Astyanax mexicanus: one gene and its partners. Each later gene encodes a partner of the first gene's protein in a complex. Links are inferred from orthologs where the notes say so. Each region holds a gene or a part of one and is shown on either strand. Other genes may lie near its edges. The genes, in order: piga, zgc:162634 and pigh.

Evidence for each region.
Region 2: piga (region 1) and zgc:162634 share a complex: the UniProt entries of both Homo sapiens proteins name them as parts of the glycosylphosphatidylinositol-N-acetylglucosaminyltransferase (GPI-GnT) complex. The link is inferred for Astyanax mexicanus from reciprocal best matches to the Homo sapiens genes PIGA and PIGY.
Region 3: piga (region 1) and pigh share a complex: the UniProt entries of both Homo sapiens proteins name them as parts of the glycosylphosphatidylinositol-N-acetylglucosaminyltransferase (GPI-GnT) complex. The link is inferred for Astyanax mexicanus from reciprocal best matches to the Homo sapiens genes PIGA and PIGH.

The regions. Positions count from the first base shown.
Region 1 is NC_064418.1:1,991,931-1,999,361, forward strand, and holds the start of piga (phosphatidylinositol N-acetylglucosaminyltransferase subunit A), read left to right. Parts: upstream 1-4,326; 5' UTR 4,327-4,527; intron 4,528-5,729; 5' UTR 5,730-5,748; coding exon 5,749-6,069; intron 6,070-7,071; coding exon 7,072-7,431. UniProt on the Homo sapiens protein: Catalytic subunit of the glycosylphosphatidylinositol-N-acetylglucosaminyltransferase (GPI-GnT) complex that catalyzes the transfer of N-acetylglucosamine from UDP-N-acetylglucosamine to phosphatidylinositol and participates in the first step of GPI biosynthesis.
Region 2 is NC_064417.1:17,145,109-17,150,320, reverse strand, and holds zgc:162634 (phosphatidylinositol N-acetylglucosaminyltransferase subunit Y), read right to left. Parts: upstream 1,017-5,212; 5' UTR 867-1,016; coding exon 651-866; 3' UTR 504-650; downstream 1-503. UniProt on the Homo sapiens protein: Part of the glycosylphosphatidylinositol-N-acetylglucosaminyltransferase (GPI-GnT) complex that catalyzes the transfer of N-acetylglucosamine from UDP-N-acetylglucosamine to phosphatidylinositol and participates in the first step of GPI biosynthesis.
Region 3 is NC_064408.1:78,401,467-78,409,213, forward strand, and holds the start of pigh (phosphatidylinositol N-acetylglucosaminyltransferase subunit H), read right to left. Parts: upstream 3,053-7,747; 5' UTR 2,941-3,052; intron 2,156-2,940; exon of another isoform or gene 2,028-2,155; 5' UTR 1,921-2,027; coding exon 1,741-1,920; intron 1-1,740. Other genes in the region: zfyve1 (zinc finger FYVE domain-containing protein 1), read left to right, coding at 4,466-4,936, 6,888-7,392, 7,480-7,694. UniProt on the Homo sapiens protein: Part of the glycosylphosphatidylinositol-N-acetylglucosaminyltransferase (GPI-GnT) complex that catalyzes the transfer of N-acetylglucosamine from UDP-N-acetylglucosamine to phosphatidylinositol and participates in the first step of GPI biosynthesis.

The DNA of each region.
Region 1 (7,431 bases):
CTTTTCTCTTTATTTTTCAGAGATCCGGCTGCGGAAACTGGTGGATGAACGCGAGAGTTTAATAGAACAAGTAAGAAAACAACATTTTTAATACTTCTACATAAGTATTTTATTAAACCCCAGTATTTATACTTCTATCTACAGAGTAACGTATGGAGATATACTTTTCACACCTCTGTATGTATTTATTATCATAATATAACTATTTGTCCACAAAAATATATAACTTTGTTTAATTGAAAGACCTTGCAGACTGAATTATGGGGTGGATCTCAGATGGTTTGGGATTGTGTTTCTGTTACTGAGTTGATTATCCAAATATCATTACAATGTAAAAAGAGTTTATTTCTGGTAATTTTGAAGTATTTCTATTGGTCCGTTCATCAAGAAATTTTGGCACAGTGTAAAGGGCTGTTTCTCTGTTCAAATTATGTAGTAAACTAAAAAAATGGACAAAAATGAAGATTATTCTTATTATTGGACAGCGACGATATGTAGTTTATAGCATAACAATGAATTAAAGAACAAGTAGTAATAATAAAAATAATATTAATAGTGGTAAAAATGTCTTTTTGTTCAGGTGAAGAGACTTAAAGGACAACTTGAACAGAAAAAAATGGTGCTGGACACAGAGGATGTCTCCAGGCTCGAGGGAGAGACGATGGAAAACGGCACAGACAATAACGTCATGGATTTACAAAGTATTTAAACTTGTAAATTAACACTGTAAAGGCTTTTTGTTATCTATACATTGATCATTGATAAGTTATCATTAATGAATTGTGTTCTTTTGCAGGAGAAGCCAACAGGCAGATCACTGATCTGAAATTTAAGCTAGTGAAGTCTGAACAGGAAGTCACAGCTCTGGAACAGAATGTAAGAACTTCCTCTCAATTTTCTCAATGTTTATTTGTGCTAAAGCGCTTAAATAGAGTTAAATGTTAAAATCTCTCTAAAATCTCTAATATCAGGCCACAAGACTGGAAGGACAGGTCTCTCGATACAAATCTGCAGCAGAGAACGCAGAGAAAGTGGAGGACGAGCTTAAAGCTGAGAAACGCAAACTGCAGAGAGAGGTATGATGGAGGATTTTTTTTTTTACTTGAGTATGTTTATTTGTCATGATGGAAATTCCAAATACAAATATTGTATTATCTGTAGAAAATGAGAAATGGCTGAAATAACAAAGAAATAATGAAAAAGATGCAGAGCTTTCAGACCTCAAATAATGCAAAGAAAACAACAAGTTCATATTCATAAAGTTTTAAGAGTTCAGAAATCAATATTTGCTGGAATAACCCTGGTTTTTAATCACAGTTTTTTTTTTCATGCATCTTGGCATCATGTTCTCCTCCACCAGTCTTACACACTGCTTTTGGATAACTTTATGCTGCTTTACTCCTGGTGCAAAAAATTCAAGCAGTTCAGTTTGGTGGTTTGATGGCTTGTGATCATCCATCTTCCTTTTGATTATATTCCAGAGGTTTTTAATTTGGTAAAATCAAAAGTTCTCTCTTGCAGTTATTTTATAAATTATTTCAGTTTGAATTTTGACAGTCTGTACCTAATTTTTGTGGATTTTCTGTTGATTTTGCTGATAAAGACTTTTACTTCTGTAATCTCGTTTGCTTCTGCTTCATTTTTTTATTCTTGAGTTTTGGCACAGTTTTTACGGGTGGGTGGGGCTTAGAAGAAGGCGTTTCCCTTGAATTTTCATTGGTTACCTGATTTTGGACTGACTGGTACCTGAACCCTTGTCTGAGACCTACCAATGAAGATTCAAGGGGAACGCTTTCTTTTAAACTCTGCCCACCTGTGAAAACTGTGCCAAAACTCAGAAACTGAAAACACAAGTACCCTAATGTTACCATAATGGCTGTGCATGCACCAAATACATAATAAAAGAAAAAGCTGAAAATGGCAAAAGAAAAAAAGTCTGGCTGCCTTTCTCTGAATAAATTTCACTCCCATGAGTAGCACTAAATGTATGATTAGAATAGCACTACTGAGGTAAATCTATTCCTAAAATTGCACTGTTGAGGTATGTGTGACTAGATCAGTACTGCTGAAATAAATTCTAATTTCTAAAAGACACTAATATGTTGCTGTACCTTTTTTTGTAAACGACAGCTCCGGTCTGCTCTGGATAAGATTGAGGAGTTGAAGTCGAGTAACAGCCACTTAACCAAACGACTGGAGAAGATGAAGGTGAAATGAGGGGAAATGAGCCTGTAAAAACACCTGACGTTTCACTATTTCCCCAAGTTCTATTACACAATACAGCAATATCAACATGAAGCACAGACATACTGAAAAACTGAACTGTACCATGTGTTTTCTTTATTTTTCTGTGTTCATCTTTGCATTGAAATGGAGATTTAAGGATGAAAGTTGTTTACGTCGGACTTGAGTGTGCATCCTTTTTTTGCACCTGTAGCTCAAAATGTTTAGAAAGTGTTATTTTTATTGGATAAAAACTTGAATTTAACTGTATTGAGTAAAGAGAGAGTGGGTAAAGGTGTGGTTAAGGACGTGGTATTGGGTCGTCTTACATGGTGGAACCTCTGTTGATAATTTGCGTAATTTTAACATTTTCATTTGCAGCAAGAACAGGAAAAGGCAGTGATCATTTCTTCATTTTTTAAGCTTGTTCTGGCTGCTGCGCTTGCACAGATCTCCACTTCCAGTGTGATTCTCCCTGATAGAACTGACGCTAAAGTACTGAAGCTAAAGCTTTAATCTTCTGAGCTTCCTTGTGTGTTTGCCAAATACTGTACCACTCTACCACACTAGTTTATATATGTAGCTATATAAACATATACATATATTAAATGCCCCTGAATGCATGTGGTCTTTGTTTAAGAGACCTGTGCCTTCAGTGCAGGCAATCTGGACACTACTAAAGTTAGTTCTCTACTGTTAAATTAGACAATGTCCTTAAATGTAGGGTACATTTTTTCACAGTGCAGATGTCTGGATTTATGAGTAACTTTTAATGATAAATGACCAGCACAATCCACAATGTCATTAAAAACACATGATCTTGTTAGCACAAATAATTTTTTATCAGGAGACTCCAAAGGCAAACATATGAAAGAACAACTTCTAATGTAAACATATTTGTTACAGTTTATCTGGAAAGAATGTTTGATGTAAAGTAAAAGAGTTATGGCATTCATCATGATCATGATGAGAACAGTATTTATAAATATTTTAACCCTGGTAATGGATGCACCTGAATTCACGGATAAAACGATGAGTCTGGAGATTGAACACGCTGTATTTAAAATGTATTTTTGATATGTTCTCACAGTTCCTGGCTGATCCACTGTATTTAATGCTGCTCTGTGCTTTGAAGAACGAATTACAGTGTATAGATGTAGTTTTATATGAACACTAACCGTGCACAAACTGCTGAAGTAGAAACTCATCTGATATTCTGTTTAAAGGCGTACAGGTTTTAATCGAGGCTTGTTTTCACCCTTTATATGCTGGCGAGACACTGCTCAACACTGTTTACAGAGTTTAAATATACTGTAAAGGGGAATTGTAAACTTTGTGCAATAAAATGTTTACCAATGCTGAACTCTCAAATGTCTCCTACTTTTTTTAAATTTTAGATTTTATTTTACTACCTAGCTAACTCATTTACTGAAGACATACAGGTAAGTTTTCTTTGCGTTTTTAGGGAAATACCTCATATATTCTATTAAAGGAATATACTAAACAAGTCGGTAGGTAACTTTCTTCATTTTTAAGATGACATTTTATTATAATTTAAATTTTATGACATCCACGAGCCTTTTAATTACGGAGGACCTTTATTATGACATACGAGAGCTGGAGCCCGGTCTCGCGCCGTACCCTCCTCCTGGCGTGTAGCGTGGCCGCCATATTGGAGGAGTCAACCACGCGACCCAGTGCATTAATTTACACTGAGGAAGGTGTTTAATACAACTATAATAATCGCAACTCTGTATACATGTGATATGGCATATTAACAAGTGTATAAATAATTAATTTTATATTTATATATACGTATATACACACATTAACTATATAAAACGTGTTTCTTCATTAAAATATTAAATGAATTCGTTTATACAGCGTCCTGTATCATTGCTACATCTCTGCTGTTTGTAACAAATCAAACCGTGTGGAAATCGGGAAAAACACTTTCCTTAGTGAGAAAATTATTTTTCTGGGGCGCATGAATGACCCATCCAATATGGCGGCCAATCAACGCGTGGTCTTTGTATATGATGTCTATGGGCAGTGGTAGCTCAGTGCGGTCGGTAGGTGGCGGTGTGCAGTTTTGTGCTGCTGGAGACCGGCAGCAGTCGAAGAAGACTGTGTACTGGCTCAGTAGCAGATGTGCTAACTCAAGAGTTCTGTGATTTATAACAGAAATATGTAGTTATTTCAGTCTGTCTCTTAATAAAACAGGTAGATATGAAGCTGTACTTTATTAAACTTTCACACAGAGGCTGTGATATCAACTGTTTAGCTGCCGGAGTCTGACTGCAGGTATTTATATTATACATATCATAGCCATCGAGCTGTTAGCTCAACACAGCTAACTCTAACTTACTCTGTAAATCTTAATATTAACCTATTGATTAAACTATAAAACTCACTCTTTACATACATTTTAATTTATAATATTCTTTTCACCCGGAGTTCAGTTGTATGAATATGAATATAATAGTTATTCCTGTTTGATTTGGGGGGTTAAGTAAAGCTATATTACAGAAACAGGAAATCTGACTGACAGGATTAACTCTATATGGATTTACAATAAACAGGTATTTCATCTTCTGATTCAAAATTACTGTTATATAAATGATATAATATATTACAAACTGATTTTTTGCACAAGTGACATAAAGTTCTCCAAAAGCAGTGTGTAAGACTGGTGGAGGAGAATATGCTAAAAAGCTAAAGTTAAATGAATAAGTCTAAACGACTATGCAATATTTACAGCCTATAGCGTTTTTTAAGTAAACTTTTATATTATGTTAAAAAATCTTATCATTCTGGTATTGGTGAATAATATATAAAAAAAAATATAAATATCATAGGTGTAGAAACAAAGAGATGGCCATAATGTTATATTTGATCGGTGTATCTAGTTTAGTAGTGTAGTAACAGGATGCAATTAGTATATATTTTTAAAACATTCAAGAAATGTAGTCAACACAACTGTGCTTTTTTAAATGACATTTAAGCATGTTAAAGTATATAGTTATGTATTCTTAAATGCAAATATTTCCAATTTTTCAAAGTATTGCAATTTGTAATACTATATTTTTCACTGTCACACAAAAGCCACGTTTGACATTGCTACCGGATTAAAGTCAGATTTACTATGTATATATTTTTGCAAAGGATATCATGAGTATCAATTACTCTCAATTACTATCCAATTAATATCCAGTGTTCTGAACTACAGATTGAGTAGAGAAAATTAAATGAGTAAATGACAGTACATATTTTAATATTTAATTATTAGAGGTGTATAAAACAATTGATATATTGAAATATTGAGATTTTTTTTACTCATTAGATCCCACTGTTTTTATTGGACTAAAAAAATAAACTTTTTTTTTTTTTTAGATTTTATAAATATAATAGGTCGTTTTTTGAACTACGATGCATTAAATAAATGTATTTAATCAATCACAGTGTATCGCCTTGCTTAAATTATCGCCATTTTTTTTTTTTTGTAGGTCTAAACTGGATGTGAACATGAAGTCAAGAAGAAGAAGAGGAGATAAACAGGCGGCTGCTTCCTGCCAGCCTGACGCTCATCCTCCCGCCCCACACAGTCCTGCCAGTCTGCTGCCCTCCGGCACGGCCAGACGTTCCTCCCAGAAGAAGCACAGTATCTGTATGGTGTCTGACTTCTTCTACCCCAACATGGGCGGAGTCGAGAGCCACATCTACCAGCTCTCACAGTGTCTCTTAGAGAGGGGGCACAAGGTGGTGATCGCTACGCATGCGTACGGAGACCGGCGTGGAGTTCGCTACCTCACCAACGGCCTGAAGGTCTATTACCTCCCACTGCAGGTGTGTGGCTGAGCTTCAGTGAAGCTGAGGACATATTAGTATTTATATTGTACAATATATATATATAATATATGTCACCCACTCTAAAGAATGCATCCTGATACTTTAAATTGCACCTATTTTTGACAGAGATGTACAAACTCACAGTTTATCTAATCCCTTTAGTAGTGAAGCATTGCCAATTAAATACGACTCTTCTAGACAAATATAATGCTATTATCACTATTCCTTATTTCAGGTAAGGGGTAGAGGGGTATAAAACCTCCCATATTAATTTGATTTTTTGAAAGGAGAAATGAATAAGCAGGTATTTAATGAAGTGAATTTTGTGCCAAAAGTTTAATGCAAAAAAAAAGAATATAGCAAATATATATTTTTAAATATAGTTGCTGCTAAAATATACTGCTGCTAAAGACTTTTTATCCTGGAATCTCTCTTTTGCTTCTGCTTCATTTTCTGCATTTCTTTTTTTTAGATTAGGCACAGTTTTCACGGGTGGGCGGGGCTTAGAAGAAGGCGTTACCCTTGAATCTCCATTGGTCATCTGATTTTGGACTCTATACCCTAGTCTGAGACCAACCAATGGAGATTCAAGGGTAAAATCCGCAGAAAATCCACAAAAACATAAAAAATAAGAGCAAAGACTGGCAAAATCCAAACTTAAATATAAGTGAAAATAAGTGCAAAGAATAATTAAGTAACCAAGTATATTTAAAAAAATATATATTTGCTAATTTTTTTTATTTTTTGAATTTGCAACATACACTTTTTTTTCTTTTTTCTTTTGATTCTCAAATTTTTATTGCGAATTTAATTTTTTGCGTAAAACGTTTGACACTAAATTCACTCCATAGTTGTTGTTTTTTTTTTTTTGTCTTTTGGCCATATATAGTGTGTGTAAGAAATGTGTGTGAATATGTTAAGGTGAATTTATTTTCTTTTAAGGATAAAAAAAAACCCTAAAATGAAAGTGACTGTCCTCTGTTTCTCTCTTTTCTGTAGGTGATGTATAACCAGTCCACAGCCACCTCCTGCTTCCACAGCTTACCTCTGCTCAGGTGTGTGTTCGTACGCGAGCACATCACTGTGGTACACGCCCACAGCTCCTTCTCGGCCATGGCCCATGATGCTTTGTTCCACGCCAAGACCATGGGCCTCAACACGGTGTTCACTGATCACTCGCTCTTCGGGTTCGCTGATCTGAGCTCAGTGCTAACCAACAAACTGCTGACTGTAACGCTGTGTGACACCAATCACATCGTGTGTGTGTCGTACACCAGTAAAGAGAACACTGTTCTGAGAGCTGCTCTAAACCCCGACATCGTCTCTGTGATCCCCAACGCTGTGGACCCCACCGACTTC
Region 2 (5,212 bases), on another chromosome or scaffold:
AGGAGTGCTTTGTACTTTCGATGTGTTTACTGCTCAGATAAATAGCTTTTGCATGTATATTTTAGGGGTGCAATTATATTAAAAAAATCATTATTGCAGGGTAACTTTAAACATTTATCAGCATCACACAGGTTTAATAAATATTTGAGCAAAATATTTAGGGCACATACAAGAATTTGTCTATATGTAATGCTACATTTTTGGGATTAAGTGATGTGTTAATCATTCAACATTCTGACCTCACTATTGCATATTACTGAATTGCAAATAAACACCTATAGTAATGCTTCAAACTTTAGTACAAAGACCTTCATGGATAGTTGAGCCAGTTCCTCTTAAAAATAATAATAATTATAAAAACGTTTAACACCATTGATTATGGAAGAAACAATAAAAGAACAGGCGGTTATTTCTGTTATATAGCGTGTTTGTGTGTCTAGGCACGGGCTGAATTAAACCGTTACAAACATCTGAAATAAATGAATTGGGATTAATACAATGAATAGTGGTAAAATATAGTCATATGTTTATTTATTTTGTAACCCATCTAGTCAATCACAAACACAAAGTTTTAACGTTCTTAAAAATACAAATTTAAATCACTTATGTCTGCATAGAATTTTATTTACCCTTCTGATTAAACAAACATTCTAATTGTGTCTAAACAGCTTGATTCCCATCCATTTCCACAGATGAAAGAACACGTACACAGGAATAGTGACCGGCAACAAGAGACTATAGAAACACACACTGTTTGAGCCGGTACAGCCCTGGGGGAAATTTTCATCCACACTTGCAGAATACATTAGTCCAATTAAGGACAAAATTGGTACTATCACAGTGACAGTTGACAGAGAAAATAGCATTATGGCTTAGATGTTTACTGCAAATGTAATATAATAAACAACTGCACTCGGCTTATGCTGTAGTTCCACCTATGACTGGGTGGGCTCTTCAATTCCCTCAGCCTTCTTGATCAGCTTTGCATCTTGAGGAATCATGTTAGGAATACCATCAATAATAGGATAGGCAATGCCAAGCTCTTCATTGATTAATTCATTTGTTTCTTTGTTGTACCTAAAAAAGAAAAATGAAAACAATTGTTTATAATAAATACTTTTATTAAAAATAATAAAACATTACACTATGCAAGAATTCTACAATGTAATACAGTTGCAGAGAACAATAAAAAGAATAACTGTAATAGTGATTTTTCTCCATTTCTAATTTCTTAATACACCTTAACCAGACAGTTCAGCAGTCTTTAGGACGTAGGTACCTGGATCAGGTTTGTTCCAAATTGACTGAAAGGAAGATCGCCTGAATTCATTGAATAGGTCTCATGTGTCTTGTATAATGCGGTATAATCAAACATAAAGTAGTAGTAGTACAGCAGTAGTAGTACAGCAGTAGTAGTACAGCAGCAGTGCAGCAGTAGTAGGTAGTATGCAACAGTAGTACACGAGGACGGAGTTAGCGTCTTATTTGCCAGTGTCTTATTCGGATTTTCCGGTCCACCTTAAAAAGTCGAAATGCCAATGATTCGTCAGTAGAGAGCAAGATTGGGCTCATAAATTAGAATAAATAGCCTGTTCTGCATTTATGTTTGAATGTAAATGAACTAGTATACTGTGAAAAGCCTAAAGAACTAGAAATATTACTGTACCATTATTTATTATGACCCTCTGAACTTGGCATTTGTGAAGATTAAAGGACAATAAATTGCCTGTTCTGCATATTTGTAGCTGCCCTAACTCCAGATTATCAAAGAATCTATTGAATTTGACACCAAATTATGAAAATAAAACTAGTATACAGTGAAAAGCTTAAAGAAGTAGACATATTACTGTACAATATTTGTTTATTATGACCCTTTAATCTTGGCATTTGAGAAGATTAAAGGACAATAAATTGCCTGTTCTGCATATATCTATCTGCCTTAACTCCAGATTATCAGAGTCTATTGAAGTTGACACCAAATTATGAAAATAGAACTACTATACTGTAGAGCTGGGCGATATGGGAAAAAATCTTATCACGATATAGTTTTCCATATCAGTCGATATCGATATGTATCACGATATAAATCAAATCACTTTGTGTCACACTTAAAGGTTTGTTTTTATTAGTGAGAGAATAAGGGAGTGATGGAAGTTTTATCACAATATTTTTTTCTGTATCTCCATAATTATTAGGGCTGGCCCGAATAGCATTTTTTGAGCTCCGGATATTTGGCAGTAATTGGTAGCGAATATTCCAATATTAGTTTTTAAAAAAAACAAATTAATCATGAACGCGAGCCAGAACCCGAGCTTGAACGTCAGCCTGACTCAGGCGCTGCATGAACTCGGGCTTTTTTCCAATTTTTTCCAATTTTCCATGACTGAAAAAAAAACTTGGGCTATAAGCTCAATATTAAATATTTCGTTTGTTTAGAAATTATTTTATATTCTTAAACCATGTTAAATTATATTAGATTAGTAGGGCTGGCCCGAATAGCGTTTTTTGAGCTCAGAATATTGGGCACTGATTGGCAGCCAATATTGGAATATTTGTTTTTAAAAAGACGGATTAAAAACTGATTAAAGTAAAACAAAAATTGCAACTCGGCCCCTTTAATTCACCACAAAGTTTTCCAAGACCCAGCCGGAAAAAAAAAGATTTCCCACCTTTTCCTCAGCTGGGTCGGGCTCAAAAAATGATTTGTGATAGGCTGTTTTTTGGTTTGTTTGTTTAAGCACTTAGGCTTTTGTACTGCTGCAGTGCAATATTTAGATTTTATATTCTGAAATTCGTTAGGTTTTATTTCTTTTAGCATTTTGAACTTTTTTTCCAATTTCAAATTTATTTTTTTCTGTTCGTTATGTTCTATCGGTCCTTGCGTTTTTTGTAGTTGAAGTTGAATTTAATATTGAAGTTCAATATTTCTAATTTATATTTTGAAATTCGTTAGATTATATTTATTATTGTATTTTGAGCTCACTTTAGTTGGTTATTTTCCAAATTCATATCTATTTTTCTGTTATTATTAAATGTTATTAGCTTATTAGCTTAGCTTGTCATTTAGCATACAGAACTTCTCACGGATTTTTAATGAATGTTGATTTATTAATTTAAAAGCTGTACCTTATTAAAAGTATTTTAAGCCAGACAGACACTGTGTGATTTTTTAATGAGTTTATCTGCACTTTTAAATGGTTTGTCCTGTAGGAAACGCACACGATTTGTATGCTGACACTGTTGTCTGACTGAGGAGCTGCTTTCCGTCAAATGCAGCCTGTAGGCAGGAAAAAATCCAGCCAGAACCGACCATATCATGAGCCAGTTTTAAAGCCAGTAATTTAGTAGAGCATTAAACTACAAATCTGAGATGTACCTGCTGTACTTCTTAATCTCTGCCCCCAAAACGGTCCATTAACTTGCTTGACAGACGCGTCAAATCCCCCGCGAGCACGCGCGGCGCACAGCGCACCGATTAATTCATGCGTTGAGCTTTAAACGCGCAGCTGAGCTGTAATTGGGGAAATATCACAAAAATCACAGTGTGATTTGTTACATTAAAAAAAAGACCATTTTCTTCCGCCTAATCTGAGAGGAAAGCGGTGTTCTCGACCGGCCCGAGTTCATGCAGCGCCTGAGTCAGGCTGGCGTTCAAGCTCGGGTTCGGGCTCGCGTTCAGGCAGATAATCTAAATGATAAATGATTTTGTGTTTTTGCACTTGGGCCATAAGCTCAATATTAAAAAGTTCGTTTGTTTAGAAATTATTTTATATCCTTAAACCATGTTAAATTATATTAGATTAGAGGAAAGTCATTTAGACATCATTCTTAAGGTGTTTTTGTCCTGTTACCGCTCCGCAAAAAAACCTCTTCCTTTAATCCGCGCCCCACATACACATTTTTGCAGCACCTGCCCCGAGGTCCTAATATAAATTGAATTAATTACATTTAGTGCTTAAAATTTACTTAAAATTTATTTAAAACGTGCTGAACAGTGCGGCCGTTTATTCCCAAAGTCCAAACACTATGGTTGTTTGCGTGTGTCGGGCCATACTCCACTATTCTTTAGGGTTTTTTGTTGCATGCATGAGAATAACTATTACAATTTTCTTAACTATTTATTAATTTGCTCCAGCGTCTTCTGGATTGATTACACGTTGTGTTTTCGTTGTTTGCCGCGCCACTTAGACGGAAATGGAAATGAATGTTTATCGAATTCTATTGCACAGGCTTATCATCGTCATCGAGGGAAAAATTATCGCGAAACAAATCGATATCGTTATATCGCCCAGCACTACTATACTGTGAATAGCCTAAACAACAATGTATATTACTGTACCATTTTTATTATGACCCTCTGAACTTGGCATTTAATACAATTTTGAAGTAGAATAAATTGCCTGTACTACATATTTCTAGTTGTTTTTACTCCACATTATCAGTCTGTTGAAATTTATGCTTATTTCCCACCTCTATATAACATTATTTCATGCGCGTGTGTGCCATATTTAAATTCTTGCCTGTTACAAAACTGGTAGTATTGTTTTTCAGTGACCATCTGAATATAAGAAATCTGTTATAATTGCACTTTACTGAATCATGACGCATGACGTTTTGATAACTTAAAAATTTAATAGAAATTGCATTATAAGTTTATCATTGAAATATTTCATTCCGACACATAACTGTAAAACAATTTACACATGCACACAAGTAGTCTGCAAAGCATGTACAATAGAAAAAAAATAATTTATTGAAATCAGTCATCATAGTACATACTTCTTTTATTTTTTCCTTACTTACTTTTTGAATAAAAGCCCTTTTGATATCACTACCCCTCTAATGCCCACATGGGTCAAAAATTACCCACCTTCAATTTTTTATGGAACTTCATGTATAGCTGAGTGTTTCTTTAGCACAAATTTTCTTTTTCTTTTCTTTTTTATTTTATGAAGAAGCTTTTGTATTTCTACATCAGTTTTACACATATTGGTCAGACATGACCCACATTTACTATTTCACAGCTCAGCACAGATCTACTTTCACAACTCAGTACCATCTTACAGTAACATTTTCTTAAAAATATGTGATGCCTATAGTAAAAGATAACTGAACATAATATTAAATAGGTTTAGATTACCTAAATAGTGAGTACATTACCTGTTAGTAAGTTATAAGTCATTATTTTTAGCTATTAGCTGTTCATATTCTA
Region 3 (7,747 bases), on another chromosome or scaffold:
TTTGTTAGCAGTCCCCTCTAACAGTATTGGAACAGCGATGCCAATCCCTTTATTTCTGTTGAAGACTGAAAACATTTGGGTTTGACCTTAAAAGATGAATATGATACAAAAGTTCAACATTTCAGCTTTTATTTCAAGGTACATTAATTTGATCCACAGTTTAGAAGATTAGTGCATTTTAGTGCATCCCTATCTTAAACCGACTGTGCTTGTGCTCACCTGAAACCCAGTTAACCCACTGAAACTCAAGCACAGGGGATGAGGAATAAGCTTGGCAGCAATATAACTGATTGACTGAGTTGACCCTAATCAACAACAAAATCACTGAACTGTGCTGGATTCTTGCCATTTTAGGACGGACCCCTATGTGAGAATGTGACTAAAGAAGAGGGTGTTACAGGTGAGCGCCAAATCATATCGTTAGCAGTAATATCACAAACATTTTTTACATTATAAAATATGTGATGAAAGTGATATTTAGCAGTCTATTTAGTATTTATTTTGCCACCTAGTGTATTTACAGTTTGTTTGTATATACATGCAATAAATGTGCTAACTATTAATCTTTTTCTATTTTATACATACACTCATACATATATTTTATTAGTACTTTACTGATTGACACAGTAGTAGCTAATGTAAGGCTTGGTAACGCTAACTAACTATTCATGAAAACACTACAGTGCCCCTAATGTGAAATCATGCAAAAAATAAAAATAATAAAAGAAAAGGAAATAATGCGTGACCGACCTATTAAAGCGTGGAAATGCGTTCCCATGCTTTAATAAGTCGTGGCCACGCATTATCTCTTTTATATTATTATTTTTTTACGTCACATTAGGGTACGTACTCTCTGTACACTGTAAAAACCAAACTCAAAATTGTTCTTCTTGCTGTGATTTTTAAGTCAGCTGAACAAGAAATATTGAATTGCACCATAAACTATAGCAAACTAGTTGCCTCAACTAACATTATTACGTTTTTTGTTAAAAGTTGGTCTGACTAAATCATTTGTGTGGCAAATTTTACAAATTGCAGTTGAACCCTAGTTGAGGCCAAGCCAACTACTCTGCACTACTGCACATTGCTCAGTTTTACTCTTCAGTTAAACAGGGTCTACTGAGCAGTTCTGCAGGGGCTTTTCACCTGATGTTGGTCATGCTATTTGCATATTGGGTGTGTCCTCCCATCTCTCACTCACCATCAGTGTGCAGTCATTCTCCACAGACTGTCTTCTTTTGGTCTTCACTTATGTGTTATATAATAGTAGCTGCCTGGCCTCAGTGTTGAAGGCTGTCTGGTACCAGCTGGTTCTGTTTGCATTACCGCAATACTTATATGACTGACAATAAGACAGATATAAAATAGTCATAAATTCTCAGTTGCTAACTTATATTAACAAACAATATAGTGCTCATTATGCGAGTTTGATTTATGTAAAACGTGACCTTAATGGATAGACAGCGGAACTTACAAAACACATCATAGAACCTAAATGAGTCAAACTAACAACACAAAGTAAACTTCAAAGTTGGTGAGAATTAATATTTAAAGTTTTATGCATATGAAAAAAAAGTATTTCTTTTCTTTTCTTTTTCTTTCTTTTTTCTTTTTCAAAACTTAAACGGTTCTGTTCTTTTCATTTTTACAGTGTACAACACTGCAAAAAAACAACAGTGTATTTAGGTCATGTTAGCTAACTAGCGAAGCTAACCTAGCAAGTTACGCTAACTTACGTACCTCCGTGAGGAAGAACACGGCGTAGGCGAGCAGCCAGACGGAGCAGGTGTACCCCATCACCTTGAGTAGAGAGACCTTCGGGGAGCTGACAGTGAACTCTCTGCAGAAAGGAGTGTAGTTCTGACACTCCAGCGAGATGGGTTTACCGCTGATGTCTGTAAACGGTCCTTCTTCAGCCATGACGGGAGCAGACAGCAGCACAAGCTCAGCTGTCACAAACCAGCGCTGAAACACCCGTCAGAAAGACGCCTCACCAACACAGAAGTGTGTTCAATACTGATTAAAGCCTGTAATACAGTACATAAAGACAGTCCAAATATAACCAGATATTTACTAATGTCTATGAAGCCTCGGCGAGTATCAGTTCACATCGATAGAACAGAACCTGGCGACCTTAAAAAACACGGTGCATCATGGGAAATTGAGTTTTACCACGTTTAAACTGACATGTTAAAGCAAGATTTCTTTTTTTATGCCACTGCGGAATTAAAAATGTATTTACAGTCTTAAGTTTGGTCGACAATTTTTCTTATTAATATAATTATTATTTTTCTTATTCTTTTTTATTATTATTATTATTATTATTATTATTATTATTATTAGTAGTAGTAGTAGTAGTAGTAGTAGTAGTAGTAGTAGTATAGGTTTAACTGTTTAACTGTAACAAATTACCTGATTGAATACACTCATAAAATAAATACATAAACTCAAGTAACTCTATTAGTAAGAAAATAACAAAAAAAAACACCATTAGCTTATACATAAACTGAGCAGATGTAAGCTGCCTTATTAAACACTCATCAGACACTGTTCCTATTGCCACACCTCATTAAAATGAGTTGACAGGGCTATGCTAGCTGGGGACACTAAGTTAACTAGTTGTTATTGTAAAATTAGAATGATAAAAGAAATATAATTAAAATTTATGACGAGTTATTTCAAAAATAAGTTATGTAATAAGTCTCTATACCTTCCATAGATTATCCTATTCATCCGGTAAAATGTAATACATTAAAACACTTAGCATCACTAATATAGTTAATACACATGGCATTGCTGAAAGAGTGCAGTGTTACTGCATAAAAAAAAACAGAAGACGTTAACAGGGACGATAAGAAACAGCGGTTAAATAGATGGGTTAGCAAACTAGCTTCGTTAGCCGCCTTTTCCCTCGGTTTTTCACTACATTTCCCTACTCACCTTGCAGCAGCCGTTCCCCTCCGACCTTCAGGCTGAAAACAAAGTCGATCAGCTGATGTGACTTGGCAACAACACTCTCCGAAATCAACCGGCCAGCGGAATTATTCAGCTAACCAGCTGCTCTCAAAACAAGCGGCTCGACCTTCCTGTCCAGACTGTAAATCTGTCCAGAGACAGCCCGGGCGCTGCTGTGTGTGTTCCTGCGGCCGGTCTGGTGAAAACTGCGCCGCTGTCTCGCTCGAAATACAGATTTGTTGTGCTGTTTTGCTAAGTCAGGAAGGCTGCTGACCGCAGACCCCAGAGCTCCTGCTGCTGCTGCTGTTGTTGTTGTTGTTTTGGGATAAACGCGCTTCACAGACCGTTTTAAACGCAGCTGGGCGCACGGAGCCAGTCAGGCCTGTCTAATATTTGTGTATTTATTAAAGAAAGTCTATTATTTGTTGTCATTGAGTGTTAGCTAGAGGGCAGTATCCTTTTTCCTCCTGTTAACGAAATGCTAATGCTGCTAGCTTGTTGAACAAAAGCTCAACACGTCCGTCCGCGTCCGTCCTCGTAGCCTGTGGCGTTTATCAGGGTGATATTGCAGGGTGTAGCTAGATATGAGAGCTGAGAGCGGCTTTGAGAGGTTGGTGATGTTGTTTATTTAAACCACGGACTATCATTAAGTTAGCTGAGCTAGTTAGCTAGCTGCTAATGGTCGCTTGAGCAGATGGGACTGTGGCGGGGCAGTATGCTAGCTAGGGAGCTAATAGCCAGCTAAATATACAGTAACGTTCCCTAAGATACTAAAGGCCAGTATGTGTGATAGCTTGTTTAGTTAACCCAATTAGCTAAAAAAAAAAAAAGATAGGTTAACTAGCTAGATAGATAATTTATCAATTTCTAGAGTGTCATTAGTTACAAAAGTTAAATATTTTTAAACAAAATCCATCTATGGTCCTAATTTAGGTTAGATTTATCTAATAATATTCTAAAGATAGAGTCTTACTTAATTTACTACAAGTTAATTTGTTAACTAGCTTAGTTAAGTTAACTAGCTAAAGTTAACCAAGGTAGCTTGCAAATGGAATGATCTGGGCGTTGTTCCAGCGGTGTCATAAGTTCAGTAACTAACTTTAGCTAGCTTATCTAGTTAAGTTAACTAGCTGTAAATATCTGTGGTGGATACATGGTGTTATTTCAGGTTGTGATTAAAAGTGGATTTAAGAGCAGCTTTAAACTTTTAAACTGGTGCAATAGTTTAGTAGTTAACTAATTTAGTTGGGTTAGTGCGTGTAAGGTTTGGAGTCAGTGTCATAGCCTTAAGTGGTGGGTGTGTGGTGTTTTTGTATTTATTTATTATTGTTTCTCTTATGCAGACTGGTTTTAAAGCAGATAACTAGTTAGGTTGAGTTCGTGATCAAGCAATAATTTCAATGGTTCTAATGAACGGTTATTATCATCAGGTGCGTTTCGAGGTCTGAGCAAGTTAGCTAACGTTAGCTAAGTTAAAGTTGCTTGTAATTCAGTGAGTTGTGGCTCCAGGATGAGCGGGCAGGGAGTGAACGGCGCCCTGGTCTGCCAGGAGAGCTACGCCTGCGGCGGCTCGGATGAGGCCGCCTTCGAGTGCGACGAGTGCGGCAGCCTGCAGTGCGCCCGCTGCGAGCTGGAGCTGCACCGGCAGGAGCGCATGAGGAACCACGACCGCGTCCGGATCTCCCAGGGCCACGTACCCTTCTGCGACTCCTGCAAAGGCGACGGCAGCTGTCCTGCCAACGGCTCTCGCCTCAGGGCCGTGGTCAGGTGTCAGGGCTGCAAGATCAACCTGTGCCTGGACTGCCAGAAGCGCACTCACAGCGGCGTGAGTAAAAGAAAGCACCCCCTCTCTGCCTACCCGCCCTGCAAACCCCCCGAGGCCAACATGAACTCTGATGCTGACGAGGACCTGCAGCGCGTGAACGCCCAGCTGGACAAGGTCTGCAGCTTCCTGCTGGTGGATGAGAAGGAGGATATGCAGGTATGGGAATGAGATGGATTCACATACAGCTGTGGAAAAAAAAAATAAGAGACCACTTCAGTTTCTGAATCAGTTTCTCTGGTTTTGCTGTTTATAGATATATGTTTAAATAAAATAAACATTGTTGTTTTATTCTATAAACTACGGACAACATTTCTCCCAAATTCAGAATAAAAATATTGTCATTTAGAGCATTTATTTGCAGAAAATGAGAAATGGCTGAAATAACAAAAAGAAATGCAGAGCTTTCTGACCTCAAATAATGCAAACAAAAGAAAAACAAGTTCATATGCATTTAGGAACAACAGCAATCAAACAGCAAGCTTTATTTTAGGGTGAGTTTAGAACCAACAATGGGTAGAATAACCCACAGTTTTAGTCACAACTTTCATTAAAAAAAACTCTAATTGTAATCATGTAAGATGTAAGTTGGTCACAAGCCAAAGGTGAACTGCCTGAATTTGTACCAGGAGTGGAGTAAGGTCAGCCAAAAGCAGTGTGAAAGACTTGTGGAGAGCATACCAAGATGCATTAAGCTGTAATCAAAAATCAGGGTAATTCCACTAAATATTGATTTCTGAACTCTTAAAACTTTATGAATATCTACTTGTTTTCTTTGCATTATTTAAGGATTTAAAGCACTTTACCTTTTTAATTATTTTTGACCATTTCTCATTTTTTCAAGTGCTCTAAATGGCAATATTTGCATTTGTAACTTGGGAGAAATGTTGTCAGTGATTTATAGAATAAAATAAAACTACATTGTTCATTTTACTCAAATATATACCTATAAATAGTAAAATCAGAGAAACTGATCATTTCGAAGTGGTCTCTTATTTTTTTTTCAGGGCTGTACTTTTTGGTACATTTCACCAAGCCAACAGGCTCATGTGGCGCCCTCATTGATGAAATATGGGCTAGGTGGGTTTGAGGTGGGCATGACCTCTGAGTGGGCTATTGAAAACCAGGTTGTGGGTTTGATACCCTGGATTGGCAAGCTGCCACTGTTGGCTAATTGAGCTCACTGTATTACTGGTTACTTGGTGTTTGTATTCACTGGTGTGTGTGTATGCGTGTGTGTGTTCACTGCACAAATGGGTTAAAGGCGAAGGCCAAATTCCACCTGTGCTTCCAGCACAAGTATGAACACTATGGTTGTCTTGTCTTGTGTTGTCTTGACCCAGTTGGATTTCTCAGTTGTGCCTCATCATTACAGCACACCTTACTTTCATCTATGTTCACAGTGCAACCCAGATGGGGCTTGTGTTTTACTCCTGCTGTTCTCATCACTGACCCTGATAAGGTCCTTCACTGACATGTATATGTGGGGCCAACCCATAGTAAAAAAAGAAAAAAAAATTGAGATAGGCATGTTATGTTGGTGTGCACTGAAATCAAAGCATAGGTTCTCAGGATTGACTTCAGGGTGGCCCTTTTTACTGTAAATTGTCTTGCTCGTTGAGTATTTTGGAATTAAAGGAATAAAAAAAAGAGAACAATCATAGTCAATCATGGATGATCTAAAGGTGATACCAATGAATATTTTAAATCATGCCAGTGAAGAACCATGGTAAACCAGTGGTAGCAGGCATTGATCAAAAACTATAGATGACATTGATTTCCATTAGTTTTAGCTTCATTAGTTTTGCTTGGTTTTAGCTTTAGTGTAGTGCAGGGCTACTTCAGAACCACGATTGGTAAACAGTGCCGAAAATATGCAATATAGAGGTAAAAAAAAAAGAAGTGTCAACACTGAATTTATTTTTGTTTATTAGAAATAAATCCACTCCACAAAACTATAAAGCAGACAGTTTTTGAATATTTTTACATGGATTTTACTTTTTAGGAATATCATGAAGTAATTTTAGTTTCTCAGTATATTTTAAAACTCAACACCTTACCATATTAAAAGCGATGACCGTAAACTATGTTGCACTTCTACTGTGATCAGGTAAAGAGTGGAGATAACTTTGTGAAGAGACTGGGCTGTGTACCGGATGAACTGCTGAAGGTGGTGTCCATTTTTGGTAATACTGGGGAAGGCAAATCACACACCCTAAACCACACGTTCTTCAAAGGCCGTGAAGTGTTCAAGACATCCCCCACGCAGGAGTCGTGCACTGTTGGAGTGTGGGCAGCACTTGACCCACTTCATAAGGTGGTGGTCGTCGACACAGAGGGACTCCTGGGAGCAGGATCAAACCAGGGCCAGCGGACCCGTCTCCTGTTGAAGGTGCTGGCCGTGTCAGACCTGGTCATTTACCGCACACACGCCGACCGTCTTCACGATGATCTGTTTAAGTTTCTGGGCGATGCTTCAGATGCTTATTTAAAGCATTTTACAAAGGAGCTGAAAGCCACCACTGCCCGCTGTGGTCTGGATGTGCCGCTTTCCACTTTGGGCCCTGCTGTTATCATTTTTCACGAGACCGTCCATACCAAGTTGCTAGGCTCAGGTCAGTGTTCTGGACCTTTTAAATATCTCGATTTGAAATCATTTAAGTACTGTCCAGCACTAATCCATGCTTTTTAATGGTCTGCAGATAAGCCTTCTGAGTCTGCCGAGCGCCTTCTCCAGGAGCGTTTCAGAAAGCTTGGGCTCTTCCCAGAGGCTTTCAGCTCTATTCAGTATCGAGGCACACGCACCTATAACCCTCCCACTGATTTCAATGGCCTGCTGCGTAGCGTGGAGTCGCAGCTGGACAACACCACCACACGCTCTCCACGTTCTGCAAGTGTCATCTACAAGGCTCTGCAGGTAAAAATGCTGTCTCATTTACACATGGTACGAATCACAGGCGTCTTTCTTAG